2 linked regions of the Elephas maximus indicus genome follow. The protein of the gene in region 1 interacts with the protein of each later gene in a pairwise test. Links are inferred from orthologs where the notes say so. Each region holds a gene or a part of one and is shown on either strand. Other genes may lie near its edges.

Region 1 (7,327 bases):
GACCAACCTTAAATTATTATGCCCTCACTGTGTGGCACTTCTTGTCTTTTACACACTTCCTGCAATGGGCGTTTTTTTTTTTAAACACACTTGGCTGTTAACTGAAAGGTCGGCAGTTGGAACCCACCAGCCTCTCCGTGGGAGGACGGGAGGAAGATGTGGCAGTCTGCTTCTGTAAAGATTAACACCTTGCCGTCTAGTCAGTTCTGACTCATAGTGACCCAATAGGACAGAGTAGAACTGCAACATACGGTTTCCAAGGAGTGGCTGGTGGATCCGAACTGCCGATCTTTTGGTTAGCAGCCGTAGCTTGCCATAGTTCTTGACCACTGGCCACCAGGGCTCCCCCTAAAGATTACAGCCTTGGAAATTCTGTGGGGCAGTTCTACTCTGTTCTATAGGGTCACTATGAGTAGGAATTGACTTGATGGCAAGGATTTTTTTTTTTTTTTTAAACACACTATGCCATTTCATTGTTCATTATCTTTATAGTCTGATTTCCCCCACTAGGTTGTAGGCTCCATGAGGACAGAGGTTGTGTCTGTTTTATAGTCTCTGAAATATTCCTTAACACCTGTGTGGAACCGGCTGCACCTGGTGGGTTCGAACTACCCACATTTTGGTTAGCAGCCTTGCTCTTAACCACTGTGCCACCAGGGCTCCATATGGGGTTCTAGTTTGTCTCATTTGCTCAACAGAAGCAGAGGATTCTGCCTATTTTTCTCTATCTGGTAGGCGGAGGATCCAACTGAAGGCCTCTCTTACCCATGTGACTGAGGGGCTGCTTCCCTGTCCAAAGCTTAAACCTGTGCTTATTTTTGCTTTCCTAAAACTGTAACACTTGAGCTAGGTAGTAAGGTCACCAGAAGCGTGCCTGGCACATTATGGACACTCCATGTAATTTCCTGAAGGCTCCAGCTAAGAGGTTAGAAATGCACACAGGGAGAGGCTTAGTGCAATTGTGATAGTGGTACGGATGAGGCACCTGCACCGCAAAGGGACTAACAACATTACCTAGGCTGGTGGAGTTCTTGCCTATAAGTACGGCCCGTTTCACAATGCCTGAAGAGACAAGACGGTGGTTGTTCAATGTGCCCCTTGCAGAAGTGAGGTGTTAGTTGTTGCTGTTGGGTGCCATCCAGTCAATTTCGACTCATGGTGACCTCAGGTGACAGAGTAGAACTGCCCCATAGGGTTTTCTAGGCTGTAATCTTTATAGGAAAACCCTGGTGGCATAGCAGTTAAGTGCTACGGCTGCTAACCAAAGGGTCGGCAGTTCAAATCCACCAGGCACTCCTTGGAAACTCTGTGGGGGCAGTTCTACTCTGTCCTATAGAAGCTGTGGGATGGGTTCGAACCACCAACCTTTCCATTAGCAGCTGAGTACTTAACCATTGTACTACCAGGCCACCAGGGTGGTAGTTAAGTTATAACATCTCCAAAGACACTGGGGATTGAATGGCCATTGATTTTTTTCACACCCAACCTTCCTGGGAGAAGGTCCATTTTCAGTACCTCGCCTTTTAAGGCATCCATGGATGTTCATTTTAATGTGATTTCACTCACATACAAGCACCAGGCTTGTAACCAATCCAGAGATAGGATTGAAGGTGCCCACAGTGTCCTTTGCTGAAGTGAGATCAAGTTAGACATAGTGGTGTTCCCAGTGTTAATATTATGGCATCGTCCTGCTAGGAGGAGTTCTTTGCCACCTGTTACGTTCTTGCCTGAATCTAAAATAAAACGATCTCAGTGTAGAGTATATATGCAAAGTCATCATTTCGACCTGAGCTTTTTAATTTTTGGGCAGTATGTAACGATGATCATAAACTTTCTCCACCTGTAACTTGTAGGTACAATACAACCTTGTAAATGCAGAAGTAAAATTCCAGTAGTACGTAGACTTACCCCTAGTATCTGTGCTTCTTCTTTAAAGTTGATTGCCTCTGTTCCTGTAGCAGAATTTACCATCTGTATATTTGCTTGGTCATGCTGAAAGCTACTGTAGATTCCGGGAGAAGTGACGAAAGGAGGCTGACTGCCTGGAGCTTGATTTACTGGGTTTATTACACCCGGAGGTTGTTGAGACCAAGAAGCCATAGTATTTATTGGTGGATATGGATTGGCTGCAGTTTCACTCATTCTAGTTTGAGTTGTTGGCTTGGGTGATACAAATGTGTCCTAGATTCTATGAAACATACCAAAAATGATACATTTATCAGAAAGGAAACTGAATAAATTCTTGGCATTTTCCAATTCCTGTATATGGAGCCCTGGTGGTGCAGTGGATAAAAGCTATGACTGCTAACCAAAAGGTCGGCAGTTCGAATCCACCAACCTCTCTTTGGAAACCCTATGGGCAGGCAGTTCTACTTTTCCCTATAGGGTCGCTGTAAGTTGGAAAAAAACCAAAAAATGAGTCAGAATCGACTCGACGGCACTGGGTTTGGGGTAAGTTGGAATCAACTCAATGGCAATGGGTATTGAAACATATTTATATATATATATATATATTGACATTACTCAAGTTCATTATATCTGAAGAATATTGGTAAGAGGGAAGGGGCTGTGGCTGTCAGAATAATGTCCTGCAAAGATGTCCATGTTTTAATCCCCAGAACCTGTGAATATGTTAGATTGCATAGCAGAGAGGAATTTAGGTTGCAGACAGAATTAAGGTTCCTAATTAGCTGACCTTAAAATAAGGTGATTATCCTGGATTATTTTGGTGGGCCCAGTATAATCACAAGTTTCCTTAGAAGTAAAAGAGGGAGACAGAAGAAGAGAGTCAGAGAAAGAGAGGTGATAATGGAAGCAGGGTCAGAGAGATACTACGTTGCTGGCTTTGGAGATGGAGGAAGGGGCCATGAGCCAAGGAAAGTTGCCTCTAGAAGCTGGAAAAAGCAAGAAAATGGATTTCTCTCTAGAGTCTCTAGAAGGAAACGCAGCTCTGTCAAAGCTTGACCTTAGTTCAATGAGACTGCAGTTGGGCTTCTGATCTACAGAACTGTCAGCTAATAAATTTGTGTTGTATTAAACCACTACATTTGAGATAACCTGTTACAGCAGCAAGCAGAGAAGTAATAAACAGGGGCCGAGAATACAATTGAATAGCAAGAAAGGCAGCTGAAGGTTTGAAATTTTTTGTCAGTAATTGGAAAAGTAGATAATTCACTTATGGTCTATTAAGTTGATTCTTTTGTTCTTTGAGAATAATATGCTTGAGATTCCCTAGTTCATTTTTGTCCTTCTGGAAGCTTAGAGTACCTTAGGCCCCATGCGGTCAAAAGGAATTTTTGTTGGGAATAAACCAGCACAATTGGATATAGGCAGCAATCACTATTGATTCTTGAAAAAAGTCATGACACTTAAAAAGTTTGTCTTCAGCATCATCAGATTCTTTTTTTTAGTGCTTTTCAAATCATTTTCTTATGCTTCATGGATATCAAGAAAATAGCAGTTATAAACCCCTTCACCCTAGGGGTAACAGTGGTTGGCTGCTATGGCTGCTAGTCAAAAGGTTGGCAGTTTGAACCCACCAGCTGCTCCTTGGAAACCTTATGGGGCAGTTCTACTCTGTTCTACAGGGTACCTATGAGTCAGAATTGATTCGATGGCAATGGGTTTGGTTTTTGAGGTTTTTTTTTTTCACCCTAGGTATGAAGTATGAATAGCATGCTAGTACATTGTACCACTGGCGTTTTAATAGGGACACTTATTTCGGACCAGGGGTATTTACCTTGTTTCTGCTATCAGACTTTGTACTCATGGTGTTGTTGTTGTTATTGAGTTGATTCTGATTATAGCAACCTCATGTGACAGAGTAGACCTGCCCCGCAGGGTTTCCTAGGCTGTAATCTTTATGGGAACGGATCGCTAGGTCTTTCTGCTGCGGAGACGGAGCCACTGGATGGGTTTCAACCACTAGCCTTCCAGTTAACAGCCAAGTGCTTAACTGCTGTGCCACCAGGGCTCCTCATGTAGTCATAGAATCGTGAAATCTGAGGGTGGGAAAGAGCTCTTTCAATCCTTCTGTCCTGTTTCCCCTTGGTTTACAGAGACATTGAAGCTCAGGTAGCTTAAATGACTTGCTCAAGGTTACATAACAAATGTGTGGCAAAGTCAGGACTAGAACATTGGGCTTTTGACTGCTGGTCCAGAGCTCCCCAATTCCAGCCGTAGTGCTTCACTCTGGACGCTTGCAGAGCTTGTCTTCCAGGCCAGCCTTGGTGAAAGGCTAATGACTATGCACTTACTACCCAACAGCAAACTGCAGCCTTCCGACCCTGTGGAGAGAACTTCATAATCCAGGCTGACCTCTTAGTGATTAAATAACTTAAATTGGAAAGGTCTCTCCTCAACTAGTCTCTGGTGAGCTGTCTAGAGAGTTAACATTTATTTAACACTTCCTGTATGTACAGTATGGAAACCCTGGTGGCATAGTGGTTAAGAGCCATGGCTGCTAACCAAAAGGTTGGCAGTTCGAATCCACCATGTGCTCCTTGGAAACTCTGTGGGGTAGTTCTGTTCTGTCCTATAGGGTCATTATGAGTCAGGATCGACTTGACGGCAATAAGTATAGGTACAGGTATGTACAGGAGGGGACATATAGTGTTGTGGTTAGGAGCATGAACTCTGAATTGGAATCCTGGCTCTTTGGCAAGTTTCTTAACCTCTCTTTGCCTTGGTTTCTTATCTGTAAAATGGGAATAATGAGAGTATCTCCCTTATAGAGTCACTTTGAGTGTTAAAGAGTTATTCCATGTAAAGTTCTTAGAATTGTGCCTGCCACATAGTAAACACTACTTGGGTTGGTTATTATTATTATCGCTGTGTTAAGTACATGAGATACAATATCTCTCTTAGTCTTTACAAAACCTCATGAGGTAGGTACTATTATTATCCCCATTTCACAGATGAAAGAATTGAATCTAGAACCTACACTCATAACCACTTCTCTAAGCTGCCCAGATGCTAGCTACATCTGAAAAAGGTTGAAAACTCAACAGAAAGAGGGGGAGGGCACATAATTTTGAAACCTCTGATTTCAAAGGGATGAGTTTTTAAAAAGCGGAAACAAAATTCAATCCAAAAAAATGTTATTTTAAATAAGTTAAAATCAACAGCCCCATGACTATGACACCTGATGACTCTCAAACAGTGTTCAAATACAGGAGGTTTTACATCCCACGGACCTGGTTTCTGCAGCCATATATGCTCAAACTCTGTTTTCTAATCCCCAGTCTGCTGCTTCACTAACTCTGGGGCTCTGAGCAAGTCACTGACCTTCTCTAAATCCCTGTTAGTCCCTGTGTCTCAACTGTAAAATGAGACTAATGATGCCACTCTAAGGGGTTGGTATGACGATCAAGTGATCATAATTCCTATAAAGCCTTTGGAAAGTGCCTGACATATGGCAAGACCATAATAAAAGGTAGCTATTATTTTGATATATAGCTTTCTCTCTTGCTGTAAATACAGATGTGGCCATGTGAAAAGTTTATAACAGGGATTATGAAAAGAGCAAAGAGACAAGAGAGAGGAGCTCGAGGTGCAGGAATTAGCCAGAACAAGAATTTTCTTGAGTTTTTTAAGGAAGTGCACAATTCAATGATCGTCTCCTGTTTCTGCCCGCATGACTTCATTACTTTCTTTACTATTAATCTTTGTAATTTTTGTCTCATGGAGAAATTTGAAATGAAAAACCCAGGATTTTTCATTCATTCATCAGTGGTTTCTGATTTCATCTCAACTCTTTAGTTTCTGGGCTAACACCTCTGAACTTCACAGATTATTAATACTCCTATTAATACTCCAACTGCTAATAATCAATTCCACAGTATCACCCAGTATGCACACAAGTATACAGGTTTATGTTGTTGTGTGCCATTGAGTTGATTCTGACTCATAGTGATCCTATAGGACAGAGTGGATTATGGCTAATCTCAGAATGCATTTTTACTCATACAAATTCTGGTGTACAAAAATAGATTACAGAGCTGAGCCAGTCCTGGTCTTTTTAATTTATTTCAAAATGAATTGATGTGTGAACAGCTTTGCTGGTTATGTTGTTTGGCACAGAGATGGGAAAATATTCAGGAAAGTAGCTAAGTGATTATCCAATGAGGGTAATTCCAGAAATAATACTAGATAAGGGAACCCAACGAATAGATTCTCTTCATAGATACCACCTACTGATTTAGTACAATCTACCTCTTGACCATTGGTAAAATATTTACCATCAGTTGTCTTTTCTGTAAAAATTAGAGCAACTACAATTATTTTTAAGCACAAAGAACCCATCAAAAAGAAGTAGGTCTGGTGAGAGCAAAAGGACACGACCATGGAAATAAGACAAGAGCTCACCAATTTGCTGTTTGGTTAGATAATTACAAATAAAAATGGGAAAAAATTATTTTTTTCTACTTTCTGTTTAACTTCTACATTAATCTCACTTTTAGCACTATAGGATGAAGACAACTGCTAATAATCAATTCCACAGTATCACCCAGTACGTACACAAGTATACAGGTTTATGTTGTTGTGTGCCATTGAGTTGATTCTGACTCATAGTGATCCTATAGGACAGAGTAGAACTGCCCCATAGGGTTTCCAAGGCTGTAAATCTTTGCAAAAGCGGACTGTCACATCTTTCTCTCATGGAGTGGCTGGTGGGTTTTTGAACTGCCGACCTTTTGATTAGCAGCTGAGCTGCTGAACCACTGTGCCACCAGTGCTCCTATAGCGTTCCACAAATAAAAATGATGACCTAGTGAAACTGTGATTTCTACCATCTTTTGATTCGGAAAAAACAAACCAAACCGATTGCCGTCAAGCCGATTTAGACTCATAGTGACCCTATAGAACAGAGTAGAACTGCCCCACAGGGTTTCCAAGGAGTTGCTGGCAGATTTGAACTGTCAACCTTTTGGTTAGCTGTAGTAGCTCCTTAACCACTGTGCCACCGGGGATCCTTAAATATAATGTATTACAAAACCAAGTGCTACAGTATTTCTACTGTGCTGTGGTAATTATGTGGTAGCCACATTATCATCAGATGCTCACAGTGGGGGATTGCTGATTGATATTCATGGAATGACATGCATTTGAACTTACTACATCACCTTTCTTAGCATTAGCTTTTGATATTTCTTTGTAGTGCCCTTTGCCTATTTTTATAGCTGAATGACTTTCATTCCTTGCTTATATTTCACTTCTCTTCTGTTTTCATTCTTCTCATGGTTTTGTTTTCCCTCATTTATCTACTGATCTCAACACATAGTCAAGCACTGGCTTACCGCTTCATCCATCCTAGAGAATAGAATAC
Region 2 (8,236 bases), on another chromosome or scaffold:
TATGCAGATGACACAACCTTGCTTGCTGAAGGTGAAGAGGACTTGAAGCACTTACTAATGAAGATCAAAGGCCACAGCCTTCAGTATGGATTGCGCCTCAACATAAAGAAAACAAAATTCCTCACAACTGGACCAATGAGCAACATCATGATAAACAGAGAAAAAATCGAAGTTATCAAGGATTTAATTTTACCTGGATCCACAATCAACAACCATGGAAGCAGCAGTCAAAAAATCAAAAGACGCATTGCGTTGGGTAAATCTGCTGCAAAGGACCTCTTTAAAATGTTGAAGAGCAAAGATGTCACCTTGAAGACTAAGGTGCGCCTGACACAAGCCATGGTATTTTCAATCGCATCATATCCATATGAAAGCTGGACAATGAATAAAGAAGACAGAAGAAGAATTGACACCTTTGAATTGTGGTGTTGGCGAAGAATATTGAATATACCCATGGACTGCCAAAAGAAGGAACAAATCTGTCTTGGAAGAAGTACAACCAGAATGCTCCTTAGAATCGAGGATGGCGAGACTGCATCTTACATACTTTGGACATGTTGTCAGGAGAGATCAATCCCTGGAGAAGGACATCATGCTTGGCAGAGTACAGGGTCAGCGGAAAAGGGGAAGAGCCTCAAAGAGGTGGCCTGACACAGTGGCTGCAACCATGAGTTCAAGCATAACAGCGACTGTAAGGATGGCTCAGCACCGGGCAGTGTTTCATTCTGTTGTGCATAGGGTCACTGTGAGTCGGAACCGCTATGAGATGGCACCTAACAACAACAACAACATATCTGGAATGTCTGTCTCCCCAATCAACTATCAGCTCCCTGAGGGTGGGGCCCTGTCTACTGTTCGGGGCTCTGTCTCCCGTGCCTGGTGCAGCTGAGGTGTTCACTAAACATTTGCTCAGTGCCTGAATTCCCACTCTCTCCAGCATGCCCCACCCCTGCCCCCAACCCATAGGAGGCAGGCCCAGCACACAGTAAGGGCTTAGCAAACACAGAGTAGGGACTGCAGAATTGACAAGAACTGAGACCAGACACGTGCTGCAGGTGAACTTTGTGGGCATGGTCTACTGAGACCCCGCGGAGGGGACCATCCCTGGGAGTAGACAGGTCTCCTCATCCTTGGCATTCTGCCTCCTCCCCCAGGAATCCAGGACCTTCCATGGTACCAGTGAAGATTCTGGGTGGGAGGCTGGCTCCAGCCTGGGACAGGTTCCTGGCTCCTTCCCACTTTTTCTGACCGGGGGCGAGTAAAGTTGGTTTGGAAGAAAATGTTGAAGTGGAAAACAGTGCAGTGATTCAGTCTTGCTTTCTGCCATTTGAAAGGAATGAAAGTGGGATTAACCAAAAAAACAAAATCCAAACCAGAGCCAAAGAAAAACAAAACAAAAAAAGAGTCAAAAACATCCCACTGTTTTAGAATGTGCCTCAGAAACAGTCAACTTATTGTTTCCTGTGTCATAATAATATCAAGGGCCCACCAGGGGTTTGCTCTGCCCTTGGACTCAGTCAGCAGAGGTTGGCCTCTGGGTAACAACTTTGTAGTTACCAAGTTGCACTCCTTATTTCTAGAGCACCTACTATATATGTGTGTGGGTGTCTGGGGTAGGGGGGCAGGCAATGGATTGGTAAGGGTGTCCAGGTGCATGGGAGGAAGGGGCTGAACATTCAGCTGAGTGGATAAAGCATAGCAGCTGAGCTCCTAACCCACCGTGTCACCAGGGCTCCAAAACTCTCCAGGCCTTAAAACAAAACGTTAAGCCCCTCCAGTAGTGCAGTGCTAGCGGTTGCCTCTTAGTGACCCAATGTGCCAGAGTAGAACTGCCCCATAGGGTTTCCTAGGTTGTAATCTTTCAGGGTGCAGATCACCAAGTCTTTTTTTCCCCCATAGCTAATGGTAGGTTAGAACCACCAACCTTTGGTTAGCAGCTAAGGGCTTAATCATTGCGCTCCCCGGGCTCCTTCTCCAGCATTGTAGTGGCTGATTAATGGCCACTTGAAGATATCAGATCCTAATCTCTGTAATCTCTACATTTTACCTCATAAGAAAAAGGGGCTTTGCAGATGTGATTAAATTAAGGATTTTGGCACTGGAAGATTCTCCTGTATTTTCTGGGTGTGCCGTAAATCCAAAAGCAAGTTTTCTTGTAAGAGGGAGGCAAAGGGAGATTTGATACACACAGAAGAGGAGGAGGCCATGTGACCGTAAAGGCAGATATTTGAATGACGTGGCCACAAACCAAGGAGTGTTGGCAGCCACCAGAAGCAGGAAGAGGCAAGAAGCATTCTCCCCTAGAGCCTCAGGAGGAAGCACGGCCCCACTGAGACCATGGTGTCGGCTCAGTGAAACTGATTTCGGACTTCCAGCCTCCAGAACCGTGAGACAATAAATGTGTGTTGTTTTAAGCCACCAAATTTGTCGTAAGTTATTACAGCAGCCTCAGGAAACCAAAAAAAAAAAAAAACTGGTCACCAAGTCAGTTCCGACTCATGGTGACCCCACATGCATCAGGATACACCCGTACTCCATGAAGTTTTCAGTGGCTGATTTTTTGGAAGTAGATCACCAGGCCTTTCTTCCAAGATGCCTCTGGGTGGATTCTCACCACTAACCTAGCCTAGCATTTAACCATTTATGCCGCCCAGGATGCCCATGACACTAATATAATAATCTTAAACAACCCTGTGTGGCCTGGCCCCTGCCCCGTGTCTGATCTCTTCCTCACTCATTTTACCCCACACTGAGCAGGGACTTACTTTCTATTCCTCGAGTTGACTATCCTGGTCTAGCCTCAGGGCTTTGGTACATGCTAAGTATTTTCCTCCCAGCCCTATTGAAGACTGGCCCCTACTAATGATTCAGGCTTCTGTATAAATGTCTTCTTCTCTCAGAGGTCTTTCTTGACTGTCTACCTAAAAATTGCCTCCAGGTCACTCTGTCACATTTCTGTTCAATTTGTCATAGCATTTATCACTATCAGAAATTTTTTTTTCTCCCTGGTTTGCTACCTGACAACCCTCCCCCCCCCACACACACACTAGAAAGAAAGTGGGATTCGAGAGGGCTTTCTGGCTCGTTCCCTGCTGTATCTCCAGGGCCCGGAATAGGACCTGACATAGTAAGTGCTCAGCAAACACTGGTTGATGAATAAACGAATTATCTGTGCAAGCTGCTATGAGCAATGGGTCAGTATGCGTGTGTCCATCAGTCCATGCATAGGAGTTTTAGGGTGCAGGTGGAGCAATGAAACCCCCAATATCACCTTCCACCCTCTGAGTGTGCCCCCTACAGGTGCCAGGGCCTGTCCTGGGAACTTTTTTTTTTCATCTGTTTTATTATTTTCATACTTTAGATGAAGCTTCTCATTAAACAGTACACATATTGTTTTGTGACATCAGTTACCAACCTGACAACTCTCCCTTCTTGACCTTGGGTTGCCCATTACTAGCTTTCCTGTCCCCTCCTGCCTTCTAGTCCTTGCCCCTGGGCTGGTGTGCCCCATTAGTCTCGTTTTGTTTTATGGGCCTGTTTAATCTTTGGCTGAAAGGTGAACCTCAGGAGTGACTTCATTAATGAGGTAAAAGCATGTCCGGGGGCCACACTCTTGGGGTTTCTCCAGTCTGTCAGGTCAGGAAGTCTGGTCTTTTTTTGTGAGTTAGAATTTTGTTCTACATTTTTCTCCAGCTGTATGTGGGACCCTCTATTGTGATCCCTGTCAGAGCAGTTGGTGGTGGTAGCTGGGTACCATCTAGTTGTACTGGACTCAGACCGGTAGAGGCTGTGGTAGTTCTAGTCCATTAATCCTCTGGACTAATCTTTCCTTTATGTTTTTAGTTTTCTTCATTCTCCATTGCTCCAGATGGGTGAGACCAGTGGAGTAACTTAGATGGGCGCTCATAAGCTTTTAAGACCCAGATGCTACTCACCAAAGTAGAACGCAGAACATTTTCTTTATAAGCTACATTATGTCAGCAGACCCAGATGTTCCCCTGGACCATGGCCCCCACAGCCCTCAGCCCAGTAATTCGGTCCCTCAGGGAGGCTGGATGTGTCTATGGAAACCCTGGTGTCTAGTGGTTAAGTACTAGGCTGCAAACCAAAAGGTCGGCGGTTGGAATTCAGGCGCTCCTTGGAAACCCTACCGGGCGGTTCTACTGTGTCATATAGGGTTGCTGTGAGTTGGAATGGACTTGTCAGCAAAGGGCTTGGGTTTTTTTTTTTTTTTTTTTTGACTCCTTTTTTTTATGAGATTAGCAGGATGGGGTACTGGGCCCTTCCTTGAAGCTGAGAAGATGGGAGCCGGGTGTGTTTAAGTTCACCCAGAACATGAGCGCCAGAGTTGGGACTAGAGCCAGTGTGTCAGGAAGGACATCCAGGTAGTAGTGAGGACCCTCACTTCAGGCTGTCCCCCTTTCTTATGGAGCTTCCAACACCTTGTCTTGTACAAGTTGTGCTGGCTTCCTGTCCTGGGAACTTTCCACGGAATATCTCATTTATTCGTCCCATCAGCTTTGTGAGGTTAGGTCCCTTCATATACCTATTTTACAGGGGAGAAAACAGAGTCTCCCGTCTTCAAAGTTACTGTTCAGTATGTTCAGAAGCGAAAAACCACATCAAGTCACAAAAGACCCCTCCCTCTGCACGCCCACATTTTATGCAGACTCCTTCTCCCCGGAGCTCCGTCTCCCCAGGAACTCTGTAGGAGTAGCTGGACAGGGATGCTGATCCCATTTTACCGAGAGAGAGCGTTCCAGAAAGGCGCAGGGGTGTGTCCGAGGGCGCTCTGCGGGCCGCGACTAGTTTAGCCCGATACATCGAAGTTGCGGGCCAGGAGGGCCCGGAGGAGCGGCGAAAGACGCGACAAGTAAGGATAAATTCCCAGGAGGCAGCTTTCCCGGGAGAAGAACCGTGCGGCTCCTCTGGAGAAGCCGTCCCGCTGACCGCGGCCTCAGTTTCCCTGTCTATAAAGTGGTTGCCGGCGGCGAGCAAAGGGTTAAAGGGACGGGTGTCGCCGGAGGGGCGGGGCCCGGACTGCGGGCTGCACCTGGCGGCTCCCAGCTCCCCGCCCCGAAGTTGCGCGCAGAGCTGGGAGCAGCAGCGGGAGCCGGAGGCCCAGGGGAGGAGCGGCTCGGAGCGGGCACCCACGGCGGGAGGAGCGGCGGCTGGAGCAACCTAGCTAGGCGAACGGAGCCGCCATGGCCGAGTTCCCGTCTAAAGTGAGCACGCGAACGAGCAGCCCCGCGCAGGGCGCCGGCGCCTCCTCCTCGGCGCTGCGCCCAGACCTGGGCTTCGTGCGCTCCAGCATCGGTGCGCTCATGGTGCTGCAGCTGGTGAGGACGCGTGCGGGGCCGCGGGGCCGGGGCCGGGGGGTCCCGTCCGGGCTAAGAGGGGACTAACGGTCGGGAGCTCAGGGGCTGCGCGTCCTCGTAGAGGCTCACATGCGCACCGACGCGCCCTGCCTACCCCAGGGTTGCCTCTAGAACCGACGTCCCCAAAGCCTCCAGGCACCCTCTCACCAGAGATGCCCCGCTGCAATCCCAGCGAGCGCACGCACCGTGCACTTCGGAGACAGCCCCACTTTCCAACCCTTCATCTTTCCCCCGCCACTCACCATCACCATGGTGGTCACAGGCGGCCGCACTCTCAACAAACGCTCACGTTACAGTCACTGCGCAAGACACGCACACATTCTGCCAGGACAATGCCCCCCATCCAGCCCTCCAGAGGACCCAGCTCGAAGCAAAGTCCACTCTCGCTCCACCTGCTGAGCTCCCAGCGGCTCCGCGTGGCTGCCCACCCCCCCCCCCGCAACCCCCATCCCCGCCTAATCCAGAGGGCACATCCATTTCCCTAATACATACGCTTAGGCACGGTCTTGTGGGCGCCCTCGGGGTGGCCGGGTTCTTCTGGCTTCTACTGGATGACCTGCGAGTTTCAGCCAGTTTGGCTGGCCCCATGGAGCCGAGATACCGCGCTTGGGGCGGGAGCGGGGGCACGTTTGTGGGAAGCCAGACGCACGACAGCTTTACCTCTTAGGCCCCTACGTAGACCCTAGAAGAGGCGGACAGATGCGGACATTCTCTCTACCTTCCCCCATTAGTTTCACGCCAGGGGGTGTTAGCTTTCTTCCCACAACCCCTTTTGTGTGGGGGAGTCAGGAAGCTGGGTGATTGCCGCCGTGGGAGGCGTCCCCGGCAGCTGAGAGCCTGGGCCATTTTCAGAGGGCTAGGATGCAAATGGAGGTAGGCTAGGGTCTGTCTTCCTCTACAGTCCACCGAAAGGGCCTTTCCCGCTGCTCCCTTGCTGCTGGATCCTCCATCAAGGCTGCCAACCTCCGCCAGGATGGGGAGGGGATACGCTTGCTTGGTGCCGCTGGAATCTACCCCACCCCCCAGGTTGCCCACCTCCCTCTGGGTCTGTGCTGTCTGAATTTCTGAAATCCCTGTGGCCCCTCCCCACTCCAGCCACAGACTCTCCCTGAGAGGTTTGTTTAAATGCAGATTCTTGTATCCTACGTCTGGAAAACACGTGGAATTGGCATTTGAATATCAGCGAGAGCTGCTCGGAAATCTACATTTTAAATTCGTCTACCAGAGTAATTTTTTTGTTGAGATTCTCTGCCTTGGAGAGGGTTGCAGGGAGGCCCAGTTCCGGGACTAATATAAGTCTTCTTACTGGTGGGGAGAGGGAAACCCTGGTGGGTAGTGGTTAAGAGTACAGCTGCTAACCAAAAGGTTGGCAGTTCGAATCCACTAGGCGCTCCTTGGAAACCCAATGGGCAGTTCTACTCAGACCTTTAGGGTCACTATGCGTCAGAATCGACTTGATGGCAAAGGGTTTGGTCTGGGTTTTTTTGGTAGGGGTAGCCGCTGAGCACTGTGTGTGCTAGGCTGTGGGCTGGTCCGTGGGGCACAGTGGGAAAGTGTCAGGTGCTGCCTTCCTGAGCCCTGGTTTGAGGGGACAGCCCAGCATATATGGGCAGAGGAAGAAGAGAGAGAAATTCTGAGTCCAGGGGTGCTTCATGAAGGAGATGGCTTTTGAGCTGGTGCTTCACTGATAGCGAAATCTGGGGCAGAGGAGGGAAGGGCATTCCAAGGGTGGGGCACAGTGTGAGCCAGGGCTTGGAGGTGGGAAAGTTAAAGGGGAGTGGGGTGTAGTAAACAGGTTGGTGATGTTGGAGTTGAAGCACTTGTTTCTGGTGTAGCCAGAAGCTGAGAGCGAGGCCCTGGAGTACATCTGTGAGAAATAGGGATTTGGTTTTATTGGCAGACTTAGGTGGAGCCCTGGTGGCACAGTGGTTAAGCACTCTGCTGCTAACCAAAAGGTCAGAGGTTTGAACTCACCAGCAGCTCCACAGGAGAAAGATGTCTGCTTCTGTAAAGATTACAGCCTTGGAAACCCTATGGGGTAGTTCTACTCTGTCTTGTAGGGTTGCTATGAATCAGAATTGAATTGATGGCAACAGGACTTTTTAATTTTTTTCCTGACACTACAGCCTGCAAAGACCTTGGTAGCTTCCTTTGGAGCAAGCATGTGTTCCTGATTTGGGGGTCTCCTGCAGGCTCAGCAGCCCAGCCCTGAGCATCTGGGCCCCACTGAAAAGATGCGGACATTGAGGTCTAGGTAGAATGTAAGACTTGTCAGGGGTCCTTTGGTGCACCTTGGCATTTGTGTCTTCGGACCCCCAGAGACTGGGTGTGAGGGAGTGTGCTTCCTTTGCCTACCCCGCTCCCTGGCAGTGCTTTGGTGCCTGAGAGGTGAGGGACTCGGATCAGACTTCTGAAGACTCATACCTTCTAGAGCCTTTGCCAACCTTCTTGGTGGAGAAGCTGCTTCCTGAGTCATTTCTCTGGCAATGGACCAGTCTGCTGGATCTGAGACAGGGTGCACCCAACAAGCACCACCATCCACTAGGAAGCCATAATAGTAACAGCAGCTCCTACCAGTCAGGTGAGCACTGGGGTCCAGGCCTTTTGCCAAGGGCTTTATATTGCCCCCATTTTACAGGTGAGGAAACTGAGGCACAGAGGCCAGCTACTTGCCCAAGATCTCACAGTCTGAGAGTGGTAAAGCTGGAATTTAAGCTCAATGGTCTGCCTTTTATGGCCCATGCTTTTAATTACCACCCTCAGCTATGCTCCCAAGGGCCACAGGGCCCTGTGCTGTCAAGGGGTGATGGGGACCCCAGGCCCAGTGCCTGTTCTCCAGGAGCTCTTGGTCAGTTTGG

Evidence for each region. The genes of interacting proteins can lie anywhere in the genome.
Region 2: the proteins of MS4A12 (region 1) and PLLP interact in binary tests that used the Homo sapiens proteins (3 or more experiments, as listed by UniProt). The two-hybrid records come from large-scale screens. The link is inferred for Elephas maximus indicus from reciprocal best matches to the Homo sapiens genes MS4A12 and PLLP.

What each region holds. Positions count from the first base shown.
Region 1 is NC_064825.1:123,643,802-123,651,128, reverse strand, and holds the start of MS4A12 (membrane-spanning 4-domains subfamily A member 12), read right to left. Parts: upstream 3,280-7,327; coding exon 3,268-3,279; intron 2,182-3,267; coding exon 1,909-2,181; intron 1-1,908. UniProt on the Homo sapiens protein: May be involved in signal transduction as a component of a multimeric receptor complex.
Region 2 is NC_064839.1:24,216,428-24,224,663, reverse strand, and holds the start of PLLP (plasmolipin), read left to right. Parts: upstream 1-5,071; 5' UTR 5,072-5,204; coding exon 5,205-5,339; intron 5,340-8,236. UniProt on the Homo sapiens protein: Main component of the myelin sheath that plays an important role in myelin membrane biogenesis and myelination. Plays an essential function in apical endocytosis. Regulates epithelial development through the regulation of apical endocytosis.